3 linked regions of the Rhinolophus ferrumequinum genome follow. Each later gene encodes a partner of the first gene's protein in a complex. Links are inferred from orthologs where the notes say so. Each region holds a gene or a part of one and is shown in the gene's direction. Other genes may lie near its edges. The genes, in order: SNRPD1, PLRG1 and SART1.

Evidence for each region.
Region 2: SNRPD1 (region 1) and PLRG1 share a complex: the UniProt entries of both Homo sapiens proteins name them as parts of the minor spliceosome. The link is inferred for Rhinolophus ferrumequinum from reciprocal best matches to the Homo sapiens genes SNRPD1 and PLRG1.
Region 3: SNRPD1 (region 1) and SART1 share a complex: the UniProt entries of both Homo sapiens proteins name them as parts of the U4/U6-U5 tri-snRNP complex. The link is inferred for Rhinolophus ferrumequinum from reciprocal best matches to the Homo sapiens genes SNRPD1 and SART1.

The regions. Positions count from the first base shown.
Region 1 is NC_046302.1:17,463,383-17,470,736, forward strand, and holds the start of SNRPD1 (small nuclear ribonucleoprotein Sm D1), read left to right. Parts: upstream 1-3,149; 5' UTR 3,150-3,293; coding exon 3,294-3,307; intron 3,308-7,354. UniProt on the Homo sapiens protein: Plays a role in pre-mRNA splicing as a core component of the spliceosomal U1, U2, U4 and U5 small nuclear ribonucleoproteins (snRNPs), the building blocks of the spliceosome.
Region 2 is NC_046301.1:25,386,102-25,393,455, reverse strand, and holds the start of PLRG1 (pleiotropic regulator 1), read left to right. Parts: upstream 1-3,165; 5' UTR 3,166-3,286; coding exon 3,287-3,295; intron 3,296-4,761; coding exon 4,762-4,868; intron 4,869-5,154; exon of another isoform or gene 5,155-5,230; intron 5,231-5,901; coding exon 5,902-6,044; intron 6,045-6,741; coding exon 6,742-6,795; intron 6,796-7,354. UniProt on the Homo sapiens protein: Involved in pre-mRNA splicing as component of the spliceosome. Component of the PRP19-CDC5L complex that forms an integral part of the spliceosome and is required for activating pre-mRNA splicing.
Region 3 is NC_046294.1:5,875,713-5,883,066, reverse strand, and holds the start of SART1 (U4/U6.U5 tri-snRNP-associated protein 1), read left to right. Parts: upstream 1-2,807; 5' UTR 2,808-2,888; coding exon 2,889-3,201; intron 3,202-5,059; coding exon 5,060-5,117; intron 5,118-5,500; coding exon 5,501-5,556; intron 5,557-6,035; coding exon 6,036-6,162; intron 6,163-6,285; coding exon 6,286-6,391; intron 6,392-6,646; coding exon 6,647-6,724; intron 6,725-6,854; coding exon 6,855-6,954; intron 6,955-7,041; coding exon 7,042-7,184; intron 7,185-7,278; coding exon 7,279-7,354. UniProt on the Homo sapiens protein: Plays a role in mRNA splicing as a component of the U4/U6-U5 tri-snRNP, one of the building blocks of the spliceosome. May also bind to DNA.

The DNA.
Region 1 (7,354 bases):
ATGAGACAGTAAAAATTCTAAAGACTTTTAAGGTAGAAAATAAAAACAAGGAAAAATTCAACAATTTGGTATAAATCAACTGATAATGACATTTCAATTTGCCATCCTTTGGTAAACCCACCACTAACACATACAAATAATAATGCTGTCCCCACATACTTGAGAGGGGATAAGTAAGTGTTAGCCAGATTGAAGAACTTAAAGTACAATAGTCTGGAGAGGAGAGTGAGCTTGAAGAGTTCCAGGAGCTCAAATATTCTAATACTATTGAGGAGAAAAGGGATTAAAGTAGGCAGAGCTCAAAGTAGGAAGAGACTTGAGGACACTAGGGAGGAGTACTTTGTGCTCAATACTAGGGATACTGCAGTGAACAATACACAAGGTCCCCTTCTTCACACAACATGCATTCTGATGGGGGAGACATTCACTTATTTTACAAATATTTCTTGAGGGCACATTGTGTGCAAGACACTATTCTAGATGCTGGGTATGCAGAAAGTGAACAGAACAGATGCAAATCCCTGCCTTCAGAGAGTTTCCATTCTCATGTCAGTCAATAAATAAGTAAACAAATAACAATTAAATACAAATAAGGAAATCAATGTGGTAATAAATAGAGCAGCACTGTCTAATCGAGCTTCCTTTGGTTATGGAATTGTTCTATATCTGCAGTGTCCAAAAAGGTAGCTATAGCCACATATGAGTATTGAGCACTTGAAATGTGGTTATTATCATTGAGGAAATGAATTTTTAATTTTGCTTAATTTTAATTTAAACAGCCTCACTTAATAATTGTTTTTAATCCAGGGGCTCATTAATATTATGATGAGTTTTGTTTTTTTAAAACTCTCTCTTAGAACTGCTGGTTCTTCTCTTGTTTCTAAGGAAGTTTCCAATAACTACCTCTCCATTCATGTCCAAAAGGAGCATAATACCACGAAGTCCTGATTAGATCAGCTTACATCCCAAGTCCACTGTGGACAAGTAATGGAATGTGATTATTGATCTAAAGGTAGAGTCAGCTTCCTTAGGAACATACAAATCACCAGATTACTAGAAACTGTTGGAAAAAGAAGGGGATAGATGTTGAAAAGGCAGCACATATTCATTACAGTCTTGCTACTCAAATTGTGGTTCATGGACTCAGGGCATCTTCACCAACTGAAGGCTTGTTAGTGTTAACAAAATTCGACAGAGTAAATCTGAAGATTTAATTGGCTTTATTAAGTGATTTATGAATTGAGCAGCATACCATCTAGCAACTAGAAGGGTATTCTGAGGGGTTGTACAAATTGGAAGCTTTTAGTAGGAAGCAGAAAAGGGCAAGAGGGCTATTACTGAAAGGAAAGAAGCCAGGACATCTTTTCAAGAAAGAGAAGGGGAAGGGTTTCCATCATGTAGATCTCCTCTTCTTTCCAACTGGTGCATAGAGAGGGCCTAGGTGTCAGATGCCCTTCCTGGTGCTTGATCAGAAAATTCCAAACTGGTTAATTAAGATTTTGGTTCTGGGAGAGATGGAAACTGCAATTTCAGGTACGAAATCTAGGTTTGGTATCAGAGGCTATTAGCACGAGTGACGCCTTTTTGGGCGTGTGGCTTTTTTTTCTTTAACATTAGAAATGCAGGAGTTCAGAGCCCACACCAACTAAATCAGAATTTTCATTCTGAAGTTTGCTCCAGGTGAGTCCTATGCACATTAAAGTTTGATGAGCATTGCCTTAATGAAGTCCAAGATTTCCGATGATCAGGGATGAAGTCCAGACTGATGATACAAATTAAAGCCATGGTTTTGGAGATCATCTAAGCTAAAGAAGAAAGTATCCAAAAGGAGAAAGCCCCTGAGTACCATAGTATGTAATGGCTCAGTAGAGGATGAGACAGCTAGAAAGAGGAGTAGCTAGTAGGATAGGAATAAAACCAGATGTATTTGCCATCCTGGAAGCAAGAGAGGAAAGAGAGTGTTTCAAAAGGGGAATGTTTGCGTTGAGTGCTGCTGAGATGTTTAAGATGAGGATAGAAGTTTATCTTGGAGGTTTCTGATGACTGTTAGAATAGCAATTTCAGTGTAGTTTGAAGAGTGAATTGGAGGTCATAAAAACAAGCATAGACAGCTCATTCAAGTTTTTCTGTAAAAGAAATCTGGCAGTAGCTGGAGCTGCATCAGAGGTGACCTTTTGCTTTGTTTTGTTTTTCAAATTTTTTTGTGGTGGGGAATATTGGGGAACAGTGTGTTTTTCCAGGACCCATTAGCTCCATGTCAAGTCGTTTTCGATCTAGTTGTGGGGGGCGCAGCTCAGCTCCAAGTCAAATCATTGTTTTCAATCTAGTTGTGGAGGGCACAGCTCACTGGCTCATGAGGGAACTGAATGGGCGACCTTGGTGTTATGAGCACTGCACTCTAACCATTGGGAAAAACGGCCGCCCCAGAGAGTTTTGTTTTTAAAGTAAATTTGTATGCTGATGAAAAAAAAAGTCCAGTAGAGACGGAGAAACTGATGATTCAAGTTAGAAGGGAATAACTGAAGGTATGAAATTTTTAAAAAAATGAGCGAGGGGATCCATACTACAGTGAAAAGGAATTTGCCTTTGAAAGAAGCAATACTTCTACTTTTGCGACAGGAATAAAGCAGAAGAATGGCTTCTGTTTCTCCAAGAAGTAGGAAACATTAGCAGAGAGTGATTTGGCAGAGGGACTATAAAAGTTTTGAGAGGAATAAAGAAAGTATGAAATAATTTGTGAGCTTATGAGAAGCAGAACACTATCTCTGGGCAATATAGGGTACCCTTTTGAGGTTTGCTACCAGAATTTAAAGTGAAAATAATTAGCTAAATTGTGTGATTTTCTCCATGTACATTAAGTAGTGCTGAGGTTCTTGGTTTTGGAGCAGAATTAGCATAATCTTTTGGGCTTCTCTCAGACCTTTCCTTCGCACACGGGTATATTTGGTGCTGCATAACACTAGATGCCGTGCCAAAGTGTCCACTAATTGAATTTAATATCCTCAAATCTCCCTCTAATAGGAAATTTCCTCCTAAACCAGACCTAAACGCCCTCAGCAGTCGCAAGGCACACCTCCAGCCGCTAGGGGCCGCAATGGCGCTCCTCGCGGGCGGAAGGGAGTGCGACCCTGCGCGGCCTCAGCGTTTCCGCCGCGCGTTCGCAGAGCTCTGCGCGCCCTTTACGTCGGAGATCCAGGAGTAGGCGTTTCCGGCCATTCATACTCCAGTCCGTGGGGCCTTGGTTGTTGGGGTTTGTGCACTCTTCGGACCGAGAGCGTGACGGCGCCGCTAGGATGAAGCTCGTGAGGTGAGGCGGTGACCAAGTGGAATGAGGGCTCTGACGGGACGGTTTGGGCCGGGAGCAGGAGACGGCTGCCCCAGTTGCAGGAAGCGCGAAAGCCACGTGCGCGCGCGGCCTGCTAACGGCCTCCGGCGCTCGCCGCTCCCGCCCTAGGTTGGCGGCGCCGGCGCGCGGGCCTGCTCTTCAGAAAGGGTCGTTCCGGGAACCTGTGTGTCTTCCAAGAGGTGGATGTAAAGGCCGAGCCGTTTCTTCCCATCCAATGTCTCAAGTGCCTTAAAGATGCAGGGGCAGGCGTACAAGGTCTTGCTTTCGGTTACCAACCGATTTTCATTTCCAGTAGAACTCGTGCTCTAGTTTAGGTTACTTTTCGGTCCCATCTTCAGTTCTCAGGAACCGGCAAATGTAACTAGGTCCACGGTCCCTGAGAACGTGGGAGACATAAAGAAAATTTATTTCCCTGTGTAAGTAGTTTAATGCGCTTTTAAAAAGAGTACTTAGAAGCTGCAAAGGTTTATCTGGAAAATAAACCCATTTCCGAAGTGTTTTAAATCAGGGATGGACTTCTGACTTAATGTTACTTTTTTAGAGTATTTTTGGATGTTCTCTAAATTTAGGATTATTCGACCTACATTTCCCTTTAAAGTAGGCCTTGCATTTGGGGGGGGGGGGAAATCTCCCAACTTGGGGCAGAATCACTTTCTGTATTTGTAGCTGATTGCACGGATGATCGATATGTCTTCCGTTTTATATCTTTCTGCATTTAATTTCTAGTATGTTTGAAATAACATAAATCCTTCAGGGTGGAGTTTGTAGAGAAAGCATTTAAAGTGAACTTTTTGTTCGTTTTAATTTGAACTGTAACTGGATAATAACGTCTCAAAATTTAAAGTATATTTTCACAATTTCTCAATATCTGGCAGTCTGAATTTAGTTAGTGTGCTACTCTTTGGGATCAGTTTCTCTCATTTAAAGATATTCTGTGCTGTGACAATTTTCCTGTTAATTTCAATGGCTGTATTGAATCCTTTTCTGTGTCTTAGAATAAACAAAATTTCTTCTTACTGGAGAAGGCATTTTGAACCAAGAAAATGGCTGTTTGTCTAACCGGATGGCATTTTCAGTTGACTTTTTTATTTCTGTACCTAAGTTGGTGGAACTGTCATCCTAATCAAAAACCTGGGAGTTGTCTTGACTTCTTCCTCTCTTGATAATCCTGATGTCTGATAAATTGCCAGGTTTGAACATTTTTATCTACTTAATGGAAGTATCTCTCACTATCCAATTCTCTTTGATTTTTAAATTTAAATAGTGTGAATTTGGATGCTGAATGATACCATGTTTGAATATTTGAATAATATCTGAATATCTAAGTTTCAGTAAGTAAAAAGAATTCAGATAGTGCAGGATTCATCAGAAAATGATTCCAATCTACTTGGTTTCTAGGCTCACATTATTGTGTCTGTTTCTCCTGCTCATGATACCCTCCCTGCCATTCCAGTTGCCACCACTGAGCTGTTTAAGCTCCCTTTTTTCACCCATGTTTTTTATTAACCTCTTGAGTTAAATATCTCTTACAATGATATTTAGTGTACAGTTCCCAATTTTGAAAAATTTATATACCTGTGTGATCCAAACCCTATCAAGATATGGAACATTACCTTCCCCCACCCCCCCCCCCCATTTTCTTTTGGGTAATTATTTAGGAGTGGAGTTGCTGGATCATAGCACAGGTATACATTTAGTTTCATAAGAAACTGCCAAATCATTTTCCAAAGTGGTTGTAGCATTTTACACTCCCTCAAATGAATGGTATATTAGATATATTAGAGTTACACTTGCTCCACACCCTCATCAGCATTTGTTGTCAGTTTAAGTTTAGCCATTGCAGTGCTTGTATAGTAGTCTTCTTTTGACTTTAATTTGCATTCTCCTAATGACTAGTGATGTTGAATACCTTTTCACCTGCTTATTGGCCATTTGTATATCTTTGTGAAGAGTTTAATTATGGTTGTATTTTTCTTTTTATTTTAGTTGTAGGAATTCTTTATGTATTATGCATACTAGTCTTTTGTCAGATAGAATTTCTCCTCGTTTGTGGTGTGCTTTTTCATTTCCTTAATGTCTTTGGTGAGCATACGTTTATTTTGAAGAAGTCTTAATTTACCAGCTTTTTCTTTTATAGTTATTGCTCTCTGTGCACTGTCAAAGAAACTTGTGCCTACCCTCAAACGATGAAGTTATTCTCCAATGTTTTCCTCTAAAAGCTTTATAATTTTACTTTGATTTTTAGATTTATGATCTGTCTTCAATTAATTTTGGTAAGTGGTGTGAGTTAGGGGGTCCAGGTTCATTTTTTTCTAGATGGATTTCCAGTCATTCCGTATTATCGTGGAACATAAATCCCTATTATGGATTTCATTTGTTGGAAAGGCTTTCCTTTGCCCCATCAGACTGCTTTGGCAGTCCCATGAGCACCTTTGTAGAAAATTGACTGTATAAATGTGAGTCTATTTCTATTTCTAGGTTCTATTCGGTTTCATTGATCCGTTTGTTGTTCCTATGTCTTGATTACTGTAACTTTAACCTCTATAGTGCTGTAGCCATCTGATTTGTCTTCCAATGTAAATGTGATCCTGGCAATCTTTATTGCTGAAAACCCTTCAGTAACTCTCCTAGAGGAAATTTTTAACAGAGCTTAGGCTTTCCATGAAAGGAATCTGCCTAACTCTTCATTTTCTTAGACTTAATATTCCATCGGTTGTACCTATAATTTTTCTGTACATTGTGCTGTTTCTTAACTACCGTATCTTTGCTCTTCACTCTTTGCTGCATATTTCCAACTTTTCAGGCTTCCTACTAGAAATCCACTGAAACTTGATTCCTCATGCTACCTCATGGACCTGGTAAAAACCTGTGCGCATCTCTATTGGGCTTTACAATTTAGTTTAAAAATATCTTTTATGTGTCCTTTCTACTAGTGAGTTTGAGTTCCTTGAGGCATGGTCTTACTAATTTTTAATTCTCATTATCCAGCATTATGGGACTACTACGTAATGATAAATATTATTTATCAAAGAAATATTTTTGGGCTTTCTGAAATGTGTTTTGAAGTTTCAGATGTCTTTTTTTGCTTTCTGGTTTTCTTTTTATTTCCATATGGTAGATTGCTTGATTTAGAAGGTATTTTGTGTTTACTTTAATTCTGCCTGCTTCCAAAAATTATTTGAAAGAACTTTTATAAAAGGAAAAGATATTAATGAGTGGGTCAATTAAAGTAAAAGATTTTTGTAAACCCAAGTGCAGGAGAACAATCTAGGTTAATGTAGTTAAAAGTGATTAATAAATTTTGAGCTAAGTTAAAGAACTTTTGTCTGGTGAAATAAAGCAATTCATTGAGAGAGACTTATCTTGACAGCAAATAGAAAAAGATTCAACCCATTAGTCTTTATGAGGACAGATGAGCTGTTTGAAGTTTGGGACTTGTTTTATCCTAGATCAAGTAATTTCCCCTTTTTTGATGGCTGCCTATACCACGAAAAATGTAGTGTTTTATAGCTGGATTCCCTTTAATTATTGAAACATTTCAGCCAACTATTACTCAGTGCCTGTTATAATTCATGATTAAAGGTCATAAACCTTACCCTCAACAACAGTGTAGTAGGGAGGGAAATAGATAATCCAGCATGTACCATTTAGTGTGATAGATGCTATGATGGGCTGTACAAAGTACCTATTACAGACTAGAAATTGTGAATGTGAACTGCATATTAGATCATATTGTGGGATTATTGTTCATTTTCTAGGTGTGGTATTATGGTTGCTTGGGAGAATGTCTTCATTAGAAAATGCATGCTGAAGTGCCTGCAAATTTTATTTTTAGATAATATGGTGAAAGTGTTAAATTGTGTATGTAGAGGTGGGACACACAGACAAATGGCAACACTTCAATAATTTGTGAATCATTCAACTTTCCTTCTTCTGCATTATTTCATAATAAAAAGTTAGGGAGGGAATAAAAAGACTAGATGAAGTGGGGAATGAATGGATTAGTCA
Region 2 (7,354 bases), on another chromosome or scaffold:
GGCTCCAAACTCCAGCAGCAGAAATAATCAAAACTTCTAAACTTGTTCATTTGATTCCTCTGTCAAGTCTCTGAGACACCTGATGTCCTTAATAGTATCCACCCCCTCCCTATTATCTTTCGGTAAATTAGGCTGAGATGGCCTCTCAGATTTGCTAAACTAATCCAAAGAGAAAATTAAGATCAATAGAAATCAGACTATTTTTTTAAAGCATAAATTGCATCTTCAAAAGAGAAGCTATATTACAATAAATGATGAAAAGTTTGTGTACTGAAGTATATAGTACCAGCAGTAAAACTCTGTAAAATATTACAACTTTTATTTTATTTTGGAGAGTTTTAGTAACATTCATTTAAAAAAATTCACTATTTAGTAACTATTTCTTGAATTAAATTAACAATATTTTCTGTAAAATGTGCCCAGAATTAGATTAATGGGGCATTAGATATATTTATAGTTTTGAGTCTTCCTATCCAAGAATAAGGTATGCATTTTCATTAGTTCAAATCTTTTTTATGTCCTCTAAATTTTTTTTATTTAAGTCTTGCGCTTTTATCATTTATAAGTTACAAATAAAATCATTTTTTCATTATATTTTTAACTGCATATATGAAAGCTATTGATTTTTTAATACTATTTTTGTACTCAGATATTATATTTTAGTGAATTCTCTTATTGTTTCCAATAGTTTCTCCAGTTGATTTCTTTTTTTTTTTCTTTTTGGCATAAAATCATACCATACACAAATAAAGATAGCTTTGTTTCATTATTTCTTATTTCACACCACTTATTTTTTTTCTCTCATCCAATTGCATGACTACTACTTTCAGGACAAAAATGTGTGCATACTAATGGTGATAATAGGAATTCTAGTTTTGTGGCTGGCTAATTAGAATGTTTTTAATGTTAACCTATAAACATGACGCTGACTTTTGGTAGTATTTTAAAAGAAAGCCTAAAAATGTCTAAATTATAATAGTAAAATATTCATACAATCAGTATGCTTTAATCCTCTTAATTATTGATGTCAGGAAGTTTTTCTGCCAAATAAATCCATTTTTGCAAATCATATGTTTTTACAAATAAATTAGTATCATTTAAGTTAGTATCAGAATTAAATTTGAAATACACGAAACAAAATTTGGCACTAACTTACCTAAATATAGTGAAAAATAATTCCTTTTCTTAAAATTTACTATGATTAGAAAGACAGACTGTCCTCCTCATACAAGCAATTCTCTGCCTTACACATAGAAAAGAGTTAAGATTAAATTAATGGTTGTTGAAATAGTAGCATCTTTTCAAGGGTGAGCACATTACACACACACACACACACACACACACACACACACACACACAATATCCTTCCTATAGATTTACTATCTGCAACCCCACATCAAAATTTATGTCTCATTGCCTTCCAACCCCATATCTAAGTGTCTAAAACTTAACATCTTCCTTACTCAATCGTTCAACAAATTTTGAAAGCATATAAGTTGCAAGTCAACTAGACACTGGGTGTGTAATAGTGAATATCACAGCATACTCACTCCATATGTCTGTTGGGAAATACAGATAAACAAATATTACCATCGAACACGGTGGTATATGGACTCAGCTAAGAAAACTGGAAATGTCACATTGCAATTTTTACTTTGTCAGCATAAACACTGACATATTTTTGCAAAAATGGAAACACAAATAAAGATAAATTATGAGTCATGATCATGTTCACTTTTGACTCTTGTTTTTGTGATATGGGATGTGACTTCATAGAGGAAAGTGAAACTGTGACAAAAAACACATTCTTCCCGTCACACACACACACACACACACACACACACACACAGCTTACTAAGATGTATATAATTGACAGTGTAGCTTAATTATGTACCAGGCCTTCCCAGGCATTAAGTGGAAGAATAGCTCCCTCATTGTCTCCTGTAGTCCCAAAAGCTTTCCTCTCAACTGTGTTATCAGAAAGCACCTGAAAACACTACCTCAGCAGTTGGGTCCATTCTTATCATTGTAATAAACAACTAAAGACCAAACTCCTGATAGAAATGTCCAAGTATTCTTTTTCTGTTTCTGATCTCAGGAATTCCAAAAGACATGATAACTTGTATTATCTCCCGTGTCTTAGTGTAACGAAAATCCTCTTATCCTTATGAAGAGCAACAGTGACCCCTACTGCTCAAATAAGGCAGCTCCGGGTGTCAACCGGGACAGGGATTCTTAACCTTTTCTGGGTCGTGGATCATTTTGTGAATCCGAAGAAACCTATAGATCCCTTCACCAGAACAAAATTCAGGTTCTTACATAAATACAAAATTTACATACTATATATAGGTAATTCTTGGATCCCTGAGCTAGTAATACGGTCACGGAGCTCTCTAAAAGTTTCAAGTGGATAATATAATTCTGTAAATTTAAGAGAGCTTTTCAAAAGGAGCATAATCTCGTCCAATCTACCTCAGTCATTACAATGTTTTTATGAGTCTGGGCTTACATTTTTTTTCAGGAATAGTAACTAACAAGCTAATAGACCCAAATAGACAGTTACTATATTGCTATAGACATATTAGAATCTTGCTTACATTTCTATAACTTTATTGCCATTTAAAATCATGTTCTTTTGTATAGTTATTACCGTCTTTATAGTTACAAGATTTAGTGTCACTAGTACAGTATGTATTTTGTAATTATGATATTTCCTTGCAAGCCCTAACATCAGTGACCACTGTTAGAGAAAATCAGTTCTTAGGCAAAACTTACACTCAAATTCGGGGATGACTGCCTTTTCAAGTATGACTTTAATGTGTTTAACTAATTTAAATCAATACATTTCTAAATGGGAAGATCAATCCACATTGCTATACTTTTGATAGATTGCACACCCCCTCCTCCAAGTACATGCAGTATGCTCCGGGGACAAGATCAGTGGAACTGATTATGGTTAAGGAATAAGCAGAGCCAGGGAAATGTTTGTTTATTCAAGTTTGAAAATGTCCAATTCCATCAATTTTTCTTTACACCTAGCAAAACACGTGTTCCCGGAGCGTCCGCTCCGCAGCCCCGAGACTCTGCCCCAGCGGCGGCCCGGAGGGTAAAAAGGGCGGCGCCTCAACCCCGGGAAGCCTGCGGGAGACCAGCGCGCAACGTGCGGGGCTGCGTCACATCCGGCGTCAGGGCGCCAGATTCCGGAAGAGGCTGCAGTTGTGGCGGCGGTTTCTCTGTTGGTGATTAGTATCTTTCCTGCCAGAGCGGGGAAATACACGGCAGCATCATGGTTGAGGTAAAGTGACATTTGGTACTGAGGGGTAGTTTGCTACTGGACTGTTTTCCTTTGGCGACAGGCACGGGGGATCGAGGGGATCCAGGGAGAGTAGAAGCTGCTCAGGGAGGCTGTTTGGCCGAGGCCAGGTTGTCTCTAGGTTTTCAGGGAGAGAGGGAGGCTTTTCAGGGGATGAGAGCACGAATTGGAGGTTCCCTCCGGGCGGGAAGCCTAAGCTAACGCCTCCCCTCCTTATTTAACCCTTGGGCACTGGAGCGGGGCGCTGCCCTCGGAGGTGCGGCTTCTGTCGATGTTCGACCGCCGTGTTCGCCGCCTGCGGGGTGGTGTCAGTGCATCTGTGTTCTAGGCGACTGGCGGTTTGCTCCCGTGGTGACTCTGTCTCTTCTTTTAGCTCTTCCCCAGGAAAATCTGCCGTTCTTGAATTTTTGCATCTTTCCCTAGCTTGAACAACCATTCTATTAGCAAGCCTTGTCTGTCTTTTCTCAGAACTGTTTCTTGACTTTTGTCCATTCCCATTGCCATCACCGTAATTCAGACCAACCTCACCTTTCATCTCGACAGTTGCGTTGGTTCCAAACTGGTCTCCTTCCTTCCATCTCTCTCTCTCTCTCGCTCTCGCTCTCTCGCTCTCTCTCTCTCTCTCACACACACACACACACAAGTTAATCTATTTAAAAATGTAAGTTGGTCCTGCTTTTCTTACTTAAAACCCTTTACTGGCCCTATGCTGCTAGAACAAAAATACAGACTGCTATAATGGTCTAAAAAAAAAAAAAACACAAAAAACCCTAACTAGATCTGGACCATGTCTACCCTCGCAACCTCATCTTGCATCATAACTCACCCTCTCACCAAACACATACAATTGTTCTGCCCCTCCTGGCATTTTTTCTGTTACTGAATTCCTTTGCGCATGGTGTTTTCCTTCTGCCTGGATTGTTCTTAACCTCTTTTCTGTGCAAGGCTAACACCCTTTCTGCTTAAATAGCACCTCAGAGAGATCTTTCATAACTATCCTAAGTTTTTGCTCCACTCTCTCAGTCCCTTGCTTCTTTTCTTCACAGTACTTATCAAAATGTGGAGTTATTTTTGCTTATTTTTATTTAAATGTGTCTTGTTTCATCTTGAGCACAGCGACCATGACCATCTTTTTGTCGTTCTGTTGTTAGCTTTCAGCCCAATACCTACCAGACACAGTACCTACCAGACAAATAGTAGCTCAGTAAACTTTTATTGAATAAATGACTAATCTCAGGCATAATTCAGTTGTTATACTTGGGGTTCTAGCAAAAAAGGGGAGCTTCGTCCTTTGAACTTGACTGCTGTAGCTTGCTACAAGTAGCTCTGGTGAGCGGTGCAAAGTTTTTGACATATTTAAACATGCAACGGAATGACAATTTGACTTTAATTTAGGTTTGATATGTGTAGTCTGTGGCTAGATATGTAATTATACTCTTTCTTTCTAGGAAGTACAGAAACATTCTGTGCATACACTTGTGTTCCGGTCGTTGAAGAGGACCCATGACATGTTTGTAGCTGATAATGGAAAACCTGTGCCTTTGGATGAAGAGAGGTAGGTATAGTTCCTTTTCAATTGCTAGAATATTTAAACTCCTAAAATTGGGGGAAGAGAGCAGGGAGAGGGGTACCTTTAGAGTTTAGTGAATAACACTAACACTCACAGAATATCTATTCAGTAATGAGTGGAGTAACTTAAGCTGATTTAACTTTTTTTTGGCCTTTTACATTAATTAGTTAATTACTTAATTAATTAATTGCATTTTACAAATACCCAGTAATTAGGAGAGTCCCATTTAGGTATTTTATTTTATAATCAATCACTTTGTATGTGCTTTCAGCTTCCCTCCCGCTGCTCTCAGAGCCTTGCTGAGCTGAAATTGTACCTGGCCAGTACTTCTACTCCCATCTTTTCTCGTTAGTATGATGAAGATTTTTGAGTGGTGGCATATTTTTGGTTCTACATCTCCAGCTCCAGTCTAGGATTGCATTATGTGCAGTGTTCCTTCTTTGTTCTTCACCCTTCTTTTAAAGTCTACTTAATTCCTCAAACAAGCATTTATATTTAATTTGTAAAGTAGGCTATTCTTGAAAGCAATATAATAAGTGCATTTCTTTATAAAATATTGAGCTAATTAAGTACTTCGATCATTTCTAACCTTCAAAATATCTAGTAAACGTTATTGTAGAAGCTTTTACTATATTTTTGTATTTAGACATTTGAAGGAGAGTATTGATTCTGAGGTTTTTTAAAAAAAAGATATATTTGTTTCTATATATTTTAAAATCAGTTAGACCCTTGATAACTCATCATGAAAGGTTTTATATTTATCGGTTAACAAGCTAAAATATTTCTTAGACTTAATGGATGCTGTGTGGTGGGTTGTGAATAAAAGTGTGGAAATGTACTTGGAAATTTTGAGCTTTTTAAAATGTTTAAAATCTTCATAGAAACTTTTTCTACATAATTAGGCAAACTTAAGCTATTTAAGTACTTGTTTCCTGTCTATCTGTGACTATATTTATTTTGGTGACTATATTTGAAGTACTTAAAAATACATTCCTTTGTTTATAACTTTTTAAAATAGTCACAAACGAAAAATGGCAATCAAGCTGAGGAATGAGTATGGTCCTGTGTTGCATATGCCTACTTCGAAAGAAAATTTTAAAGAGAAGGGCCCTCAGAATGCATCAGATTCATATGGTCATAAACAGTATCCTGCCAACCAAGGTGAGTGTGGCATTGTCAGAAATGCCAGGACTTACGTGTGAATTTTTAAAAATAAATGAAATATTTTATTAGTGCCCCTCTTGGTGGAAGACTAATTAGAGCCATACCGTATTTTAACACCACTAGTATTATGATGGAAGTCTAGATTTCCTCATTGGAATAGTGAGTGAGATATGTATTGGTTGGTGGGTTTTAGTTCTACAGGAAATAAAAATAAAAGTGGTAGTATAATGGTGGCAGAAACCATTAGGATATGGAGTTGGTTATAGTGGAAAAATTCCTAATTTGTGGGGAGACCATCTATCTCTTTAGGCTATAATTCAGAAAGATGATATTAAATACTGAAATTGTAGTGAATAAAGATAATTCAATATTCCACAGGGAAACCATTTGCTTAAAAGAAAAATCAGAGTGGATTATTACTTTATAGGGTGACCTCTACACACGATTGTTATATAGCAAATGCACAAGTTCTTGACATCATGTCAGCAAATGGTCAAGGAAATCACTATGTACATGGTCTTCAGAAGTCAAAACAAAAATGATCAGCTTTATTTTTGAAGCTTGGGTTTAGTTATGAAAATTTTAGAAATCCAGTTGATAATTTAAAATTACTTAGTTCATTAAAAGAAATGATACTAGTATGGTACATAAGATAAATTTTGTCATTGATGAATTTCTCTTGTATTTTTTTAAGGACAAGATGTTGAATATTTGGTGACGGGTACACATCCCTATCCACCTGGACCTGGTAAGTGAGCTGTTACACATTGAAAATGTCTTATTGTCACATATATTTCCATGAATAAACTAATAATATGATTCCCATTGCCTGTAAAATACAAGATAAGCTTAATAGCCCGGCATCCAGCTTTTTAGATGATAATTAGCGAATACTTAGTGTCACATGCATTCATTGGGCAAACATTCATGAGCACCTGTATTTTTTCAGGCACCGTGCTAGGAATTTATAGTCAATAAGACTGCCCCAAGGTAAGACAAGCTTATTATTTGGAGGTTTAGACAGACATGTAAATGTCACTAAGCTTATAAAAGTGATGCTAGAAGTGTTAGTATAGAAGCAGGGGTGATAGAAATGTTACCTGGGTGTGTGTAGAGGAATCGGCACACAGGTGGAGTGGTCAGTATAGCAAGAGTAGAGGATAAAAAGCTTAGTACAGCTATTTTAGAGGACAGAATTCAGCATATTGAAAGTGTAGGCGAATCAGTGCTTCTCGTAGTAATTTACATTTATTCTTCGAAACATTCTGGTAATATTTGCGGAACTGCTTAATTTTTATGTGTAACGG
Region 3 (7,354 bases), on another chromosome or scaffold:
TATGGTAACTCTGCAGTCCCCGAGCAGTGCCACTGGCATGGTGACTACCGAGTGTTCTGCTCCAGTATCTACCATAAAAGTTACTGTTTGGCCCTATATATCTAAGTCAACCGTGGGCTCGTGGGGGCCGAGGTCGAACGAGCCCGGTCCCCCTCAGTCCGATTTGATTTCTGGTAATCCTATGAAGTCGGGCTCCGGTCTGGTTGGGTTGGGACCACGGGGAGGCCGAGGTTTTCCTTTCTGTCGTTCGGGGCACTCGTTTTTCTAATGGCCCAGTTCTTTACAATATGTGCATTGGTCTTCTTTTAGCGGGACGCGAGGACATGGGCCTGTCTGCCAACAGGGAGGCCCTTTTCTTCGGGGCCTAGCCCCTCCTTGTTGGAGAGCACCCGCGAGGAGGGTTACTTTTTCCTCTCATCCTCTTATCAGCCTCTCATTTAGCTACAACCTCACGGTACTGATAGACCTTGTTAGCCACCTCCAAGAGCTGGGGGATATTCATTCCTGCAAACCCCTCGAGTTTTTGGAGTTTTCGGCAGATATCAGGAGCTGCCTGAGCGACAAAGGCTGTGTTTATCATTCTCTGATTCTTGGGGGCTTCCGGATCAAATGGAGTGTAGACCCGGAACGCCTCACAGAGACGTTCACAGAAGTTGCCAGGAGTTTCTTCCCCGTTTTGGGTTACATCGGCTGTTTTGGACATGTTGGTTGGTTTTCGGGCTCCTGCCCGCAACCCTCGTAGGAGAGCATCTTGGTATCGGCGGATTGCGCCTCTCCCTGCTTCAGTGTTAAAGTCCCAATTAGGCCGTGCGTCTGGAGCAGCCTCGGTCACCCAGGTGGCAGCATCCAGGACTCCTCCAGAGGCCACTTCTTCTAGCCACTGCGTTGCTCCCTATATGATCCGCTGGCGTTCTTCGGTGTTGAAGAGTGTTCAGAGGAGCTGTTGACAGAACTCCCAGGTGGGGCGATGAGTGTGGAAGATAGATTCCATAAGATCTATCATGGCTTGCGATTTCTCCGAGTAAGCTGGGGTATGATGTTTCCAATTCAACAGGTCAGTGGTGGAGAAAGGCTGGTAGTAGATGACGGGGTGTCCTCGCTGGAGGGTCCCGTCATCTCCAACTTGGTCTGGGCTTCTGGTCTCCTGGAGGGTCAGCTGAAGCAGAGGCGGGTCTTTGGACCGAAGTCAACTAGCAGGCCCCAGTGAGGGTTGGTGTGTAGGATCAGGGGCTCCCTGGGGAGGGCTTGGGAAGTTGGGTGTCGGCCTGGGGGGCTCAGATGGAGGCGGAGTGTCTGGAAGTGGTGGGGCCGCACCAGCCGTTGGCCGTGATGCGTAGGGAGGTGGTGGTGGCTCTTCGTGGGGGTCTCCCTGGTAAATGGTCTTAGTCATGTCTTTCTGGGCACGGCCTTGTGGGTTCCGTGCAATGAGGATCCTGGACTGTCCCTTACTATTGGAGTAGAACCGTACCTAAGGAGGAAGGGTTCGGCCTATTTCCAACCACGAGTCAATGTAAGGGAACTGGTATGGATATCCTGGGGTCCCGGTGACAACTATGTAGACCCGGCAAATCGTGGGGAGGTCAAGAGTGCCTTCTGGGGGCCATTCCACGTCAAAACTTGGCCACTCCAGTTCATATAAAGTGCGGAGATGTCCTGGGGTCATTTTGACCCCCTAGTCGCCTCTGAAACCTTTTCTGAAATTCTTTAACATGCAGTCTAGAACCCTGGGCTTCCCGTGACTCCCTCCCAGGATGTTCGGTGTAGTGTAGACAAGGGAATGGTCTCAATCAGGCGCCCGCCTGGCCGTGTTCCTCGCGGGAACTTTGGGTACGTCTTGGCTAAGGTGTGCCCGTATAAGCCCGGGGTTCGGTCGCACTCCGAGAGTGCGAATCACCATATGCCGTAGGATGCTACCATGGAACGCAGGTTGGGGCTCACCCCAGCTCCGTAGCCGACAGGCAGTGGATCCATACAGAATCCTGTTTGGGACCAAGCACACACACATTCATTCCGGGAGGAAAGACGCCCTCCCCCGGAATGGCCCTAACTAGAGTCCAAAGTGGGACTCAGCAGGAGGTGATCAGGCTCCCCTTCTGCCCTTAGGCAGGCCTAACTGGGTCCCGGGCCCCGGGTCTTACCGTGTCCGATGTCCTGGTTGATTGTCCGTCCTTTCTCTCTACTGGGGTCCAGCAGGGAGTCACGGGCCGGAGCTGGTGGGAGGTCGCTGGTCCCGGGCCGGCGGAAATGAGCAGGGCGCGCCTAGCCCTGCCCCGGCTCTCCCGCCACCCTACGGTCTGCTCTGGCCCAAACCGGTGGCTCAAGGGGCCAGCGCGGTTGGGTTTCCAGGTCAGGGAACCAAGAATGTTACGGATACCAAGACCGGAAGAACCTAAGCGGCACTCAGAGAGTTAGGAAGGTCAGCTTTATTATGCCGGCGGGCTCAGCGGGATCCTTCCCAAAGACTGAGCCCCTAGCAAGGTTTTGAGCAGGTTTTTGAGTTAGGAACTTCCTTCAGTCGGGGAAGGGGTAGGTGTGGTCCGGTGATTGGCTCCGGGTGTGGCTTGGAGGGGGTTATGAGGAAGTGGGCTGGGGCTTAGGCTGGGGACGTCTCTCTCCGCTCCGGCCACCATTTTAGCTCACTTTCCCCATCACTGGGACGCCGCCTTCCCCATGCACAATCGGACCACCACCCTGCCCGAGGTGGCCGAGCTTGTGCACGCGGACGTCGACCCCAGCCTTCCCATAAGCCTTTGGGGGCCGGCTCTGAAGCGAAGGACGGAAGCAGCCGCTCTTGGTTTCCGGCTACACGACAGCGGGCGACCCGGAAGTGTTCCCATTTTGCGCAGTCTGGGCTCGGCGGCGGCCGGGCACGGGGCGGCCGGACCACTATGGGATCGTCAAAGAAGCACCGCGGGGAGAAGGAGGCAGCCACGACGGCGGCGGCGGCCGGCACCGGGGGCGCCACCGAGCAACCGCCGCGGCACCGGGAACACAAAAAACATAAGCATCGGAGCGGCGGCGGCGGCGGCAGCGGCGGCGAACGACGGAAGCGGAGCCGGGAGCGGGCAACCGAGCGCGGGGGCGGGCGGCGCGGGGCTGAGGCCGAGACCCGGAGCGGCGCGCACGGGCGGGAGCGTAGCCAGACCGAGCCCTCCGAGCGGCGCGTGAAGCGGGAGAAGCGCGATGACGGCTTCGAGACCGGTGAGGGGCGAGGCGTGCGCGGGGGGATCCCGGGGCTGGCAGGCCCTGGGCGTGGAGGCAATGCCGGACGCCGGCCCTGCACTCCAGGCCGTGGCACCCGCGGGCTCTCTTAGTCAGCACTTCTTAAAGGGTCCTCTTACCATTGTTTGGGATTAATGGTGGTTTCTCTCTCCTAAGATCTGTGAGAACAGATTTTTCTGTGTTTTCTTCAACTGGCATATCACAGGTCCTCGGTAAATGGGTTGAGTGAGTGAGTAAATGAGTGAATGAATGAATGATTGAATGAAGTGGTACCAGGGTGTGCAGAGGCAAGAGAAAATCAGGTATTGGGCAAATCGTGTAGGGCTCATAGTAGAGACATGAAGCAGTAAGATCCGCAGGGGTCCAAACACGAGGTGCCCTGTTATGAAATTTGAACTTTGTCTTGAGGGTCGTAGGGAGCCGTGCAGTTGAGCTGGGGAGTGAGTTGATCCTATTTTGCACAGATCACTGACTGCATCCAAAACTAAGTCAAAGGTAGTCAAAACGAGACCAGGTGAGGACTGATGCTGGCCTGCACCAAGGCAGCAGCAGGGGGATGGAGAGATGTGGAAAGACTGAAGAAGTGTTTTGGAGGAGGAATGGGGGTGGGATGAGGGTGGGAAGGAGAAGAAGGGATTGAGGATTCAAATTTTGGTGTCAGCAATTAGGTGGGTGGTGGCGTCATCTACTGAGCTTGAGTTTGGAAGAGGCATTTAGGGGAAGAGAATGAATTCAGTTTTGCAGAGTGTTGTGTTTGATGTGCTTGGGAGAAACCTGGGAGGACCAGGTTTGGGTGGGATACAGCAATTTGGGAGTCAGGAGTAGTTAGGTGGCATGCGAAGTCTCCTGAAGAGAGTGGGGAGTGAGAAGTCAGGCTCAGGACTAGAGCCTGAGAAATGCCAGTATTTTAGTAGTAAGCGGAGCCTGATGCTACCGGAAAGGAAGTAGAATAGCCAAAAAGACAGGAAAACCATAGAATCTTCTGTCATGAGATTTGTGGAAAGAGGATTGTTAGAAGACGGGTCACACACTACAGGAGATCAAGCAAAACCAGAGCTGAAAAGAATGCATTGGTTTTAGAAATAAGGAAGCTGGTGACTTTGAAGAGTGCCTGGAAGGGTTGGGATCCAGGGTCCAGGTGGAATAAAAGGGGAGGAGTTAGGCTGGGGGCGAGTTGCAGCAAGGATGAGCTTGTGGTGGCAGCTGGTTGGGGGAGCTCCACCTGACGGTTTTTAGCTTCTGGCTGTGGTGTTCAGCAAAGGTATTTGCTGTTTGTGAGGTGGGTGGAGGAAGTTTGAAATGCTTTTTTATTGCTGTATCCCCAACATCCAGCAGGGGACAAGCACCAGTAACGTGTTTATTGACATGGTCATGCTACCAACATGGTCTCTGCCCTGTGGAGAGCCACAGACCCAGACATGACTGACCGTGCTGTGGGGTTTGGGGAGGGCAGTTCATTCTGGTCAATAATTGAAGCACTTCACGGAAGAGCTGGCGATTGATCTTGGCGTTTGGATAGGACTTGTCAGTCAGTGAGGCCAGAGAGGGCAGTGCAGGTTGAAAACACAGAATATACAACAGTGGAGAGGTGGCAAAGGGTGGGATGCAGAAAGTTGGACCTTTGGGGTGAGGAAAGGAAGGGATCTAGAAGAGGCGGGGTTCTCAGACTGGGACTCAGGGAGAAGGACTTGCTGGGGTGGGAAGAGGCTGCCGTGTTCTGGTGTCTCAGCAAGCCCCGGGTGCTGGTGAGGGGCCCTTATCGTTGGCCGTGCAGCGGAGCGAAGGCTGTGGCTTTTTGGCCCTGCGTTCGCCTCCTGAGTCGTGCTTCTTGTTCCAGCTACCGGCTCCAAAAGCAGCTCAGGAGATGCCTCGTCACTCAGCATCGAGGAGACCAAGTGAGTACTGTGTCCTGTATGTTTGCAGTCTTTTCTTCTGAGCAGTCGCTTGGGGAGGCTTCCGCACACTAAAGTGTGCTGGTTGGCATTGGAAGTGCCATATAAATCACGTCAGCCCACCGTTTGTGTTACAGAAGAGGACACTAAGGCCTTAGAGGAAGGACGGCATTCCACTGGTTAGGGCCAGCCAGGCGGAGCACTTGTGTTCCCTGATTGGGAGACCTGTGTCCTTCCCAGTGCCCTGGGCTTCCAGGGTCAGGCCCTGTGTTGGGGACCCTTAGGACCACTCTGCCCCGTCCTGTTTTCATCCCCCATCTATCCGGAAATGCATTTGGTGCCCCATCTCTTTGACAGCTCTTAACCTTTGTATCTCTTACCCTCAGTAAACTCCGGGCAAAGTTGGGGCTGAAACCCTTGGAGGTCAATGCCGTCAAGAAGGGTAAGTATGGGGCTGAGGGCATCGGAGGGGTCTTTGAAGACAGTGGGGTTGGAGCATGTGTGTGTGTGCTTGCCAGTAGGCATGGGCCTTCCTTCTTGCTGTCACATGGGGATCTGACGCTCAGCTTATTCTTGAAGTTTGCACAGTTGGCATGGCTCCTCACTCTGGCTGTGTGGTAGCGGTAGATGGGCTGAGAAATGTGCACAGTTGCTCCAAACTGATCGGGGCTGTGCAGGTGTTGGTTATCTCTTAAGCATGATTTGAGTGGCTTTGGAAGGCCTGGTAGGGGGTTCCCATCATGCTGTGTGGGGTGACATGGGAGTGTCGGAATAAAGTGGGTGTAGGGAGGTAAAGGATCCTTCCCCCCCTTTCCTGGCCCCTTCTGGTCACCTGAGCTGGAAGGGGGCAGGGTGAGTGGCTCCCTCCTCTCCCCACCAGCCATGGGCAGGCATAGCCTCACGTCTGGGCCCTCCTTCCAGAGGCGGGCACCAAGGAGGAGCCCGTGGCAGCCGATGTCATCAATCCTATGGCCTTGCGACAGCGAGAGGAGCTACGAGAGAAGCTGGCAGCTGCCAAAGAAAAGCGCCTCCTGAACCAAAAGCTAGGGTAAGGGGGTCCCAGCCAGGGAGGACAAGGGAAGGGTCTGAGGAGGCTGCCATGGAGCTCTGGAGTCGGGGTGGGGGGAGCAGGAGCGGGGCTCCCCAGAGAGTCACTTTCTTCCCACTTCAGGAAGATCAAGGCACTGGGGGAGGACGACCCCTGGCTGGATGACACTACCGCCTGGATCGAGAGGAGTCGGCAGCTGCAGAAGGAGAAGGACTTGGCGGAGAAGAGGGTGAGGGCCTAGGCAGCGGGGTTGGTTGCTCAGGGCCGCTGGTGGCTTCACAGGCTGGTGAGGCAGGAATCCCACCCCTGGGGCGTGAGGCCGGGCTCAGAGAGGTAGGAGGTCCATGGAGTGGCGTCCGCTTTGGGTTCTCAGCGGCTTGCCTGCAAGGCCTGCCATTTGTGTGCTCCCACTTGACAAGGCCATGCGTGTCTTCTGGTCCTGAATGGCCTGAGCTCCTGGGTCACTCCCCCTCCTGTCCCATAGGCCAAGCTGCTGGAGGAGATGGACCAAGAGTTTGGTGTCAGCACTCTGGTGGAGGAGGAGTTCGGCCAGAGGCGGCAGGTGAGGCTGCTGTGGCAGCCGTGGGGAGTTGTAGGGTGGTGGTGGGAGGCACTGCTGTCCATGGTGCTGGGATCCCAGGGCTGGGGGGTTTGGGCGCCTGACTCGGCGGGACCTCCCCCCTCCCTTCTAGGACCTGTACAGTGCCCGGGACCTGCAGGGCCTCACCGTGGAGCACGCCATTGAGTCCTTCCAAGAAGGGGAAACTGTGGTCCTCACCCTCAAGGACAAGGGTAGGTTGGGGGGCTGGGGTCATCCGGTTGGGGGCAAGGTGCTACTGAGTCGAGGGCGTGTGTGAATGGCCTCTGCCCTGCCCCCAGGCGTGCTGCAGGAGGAGGAGGACGTGCTGGTGAATGTGAACCTCGTGGATAAGGAGCGGGCTGAGAAGAACGTGGAGCTGCGGAAGAAGAAGCCCGACTACCTGCCCTATGCAGAGGACGAGAGCGTGGACGACTTGGCCCAGGCAGGCGGGCGGCGTAGGGGCCGGGAGGAGTGGGTGGCTCTGTGGCTTCTGGGGAGCCAGGCTGGGTCCCAACCTGTACCTCTTGCCTTTGCAGCAGAAACCCCGCTCTATCCTGTCCAAGTACGATGAGGAGCTCGAGGGCGAGCGCCTGCACTCCTTCCGCTTAGACC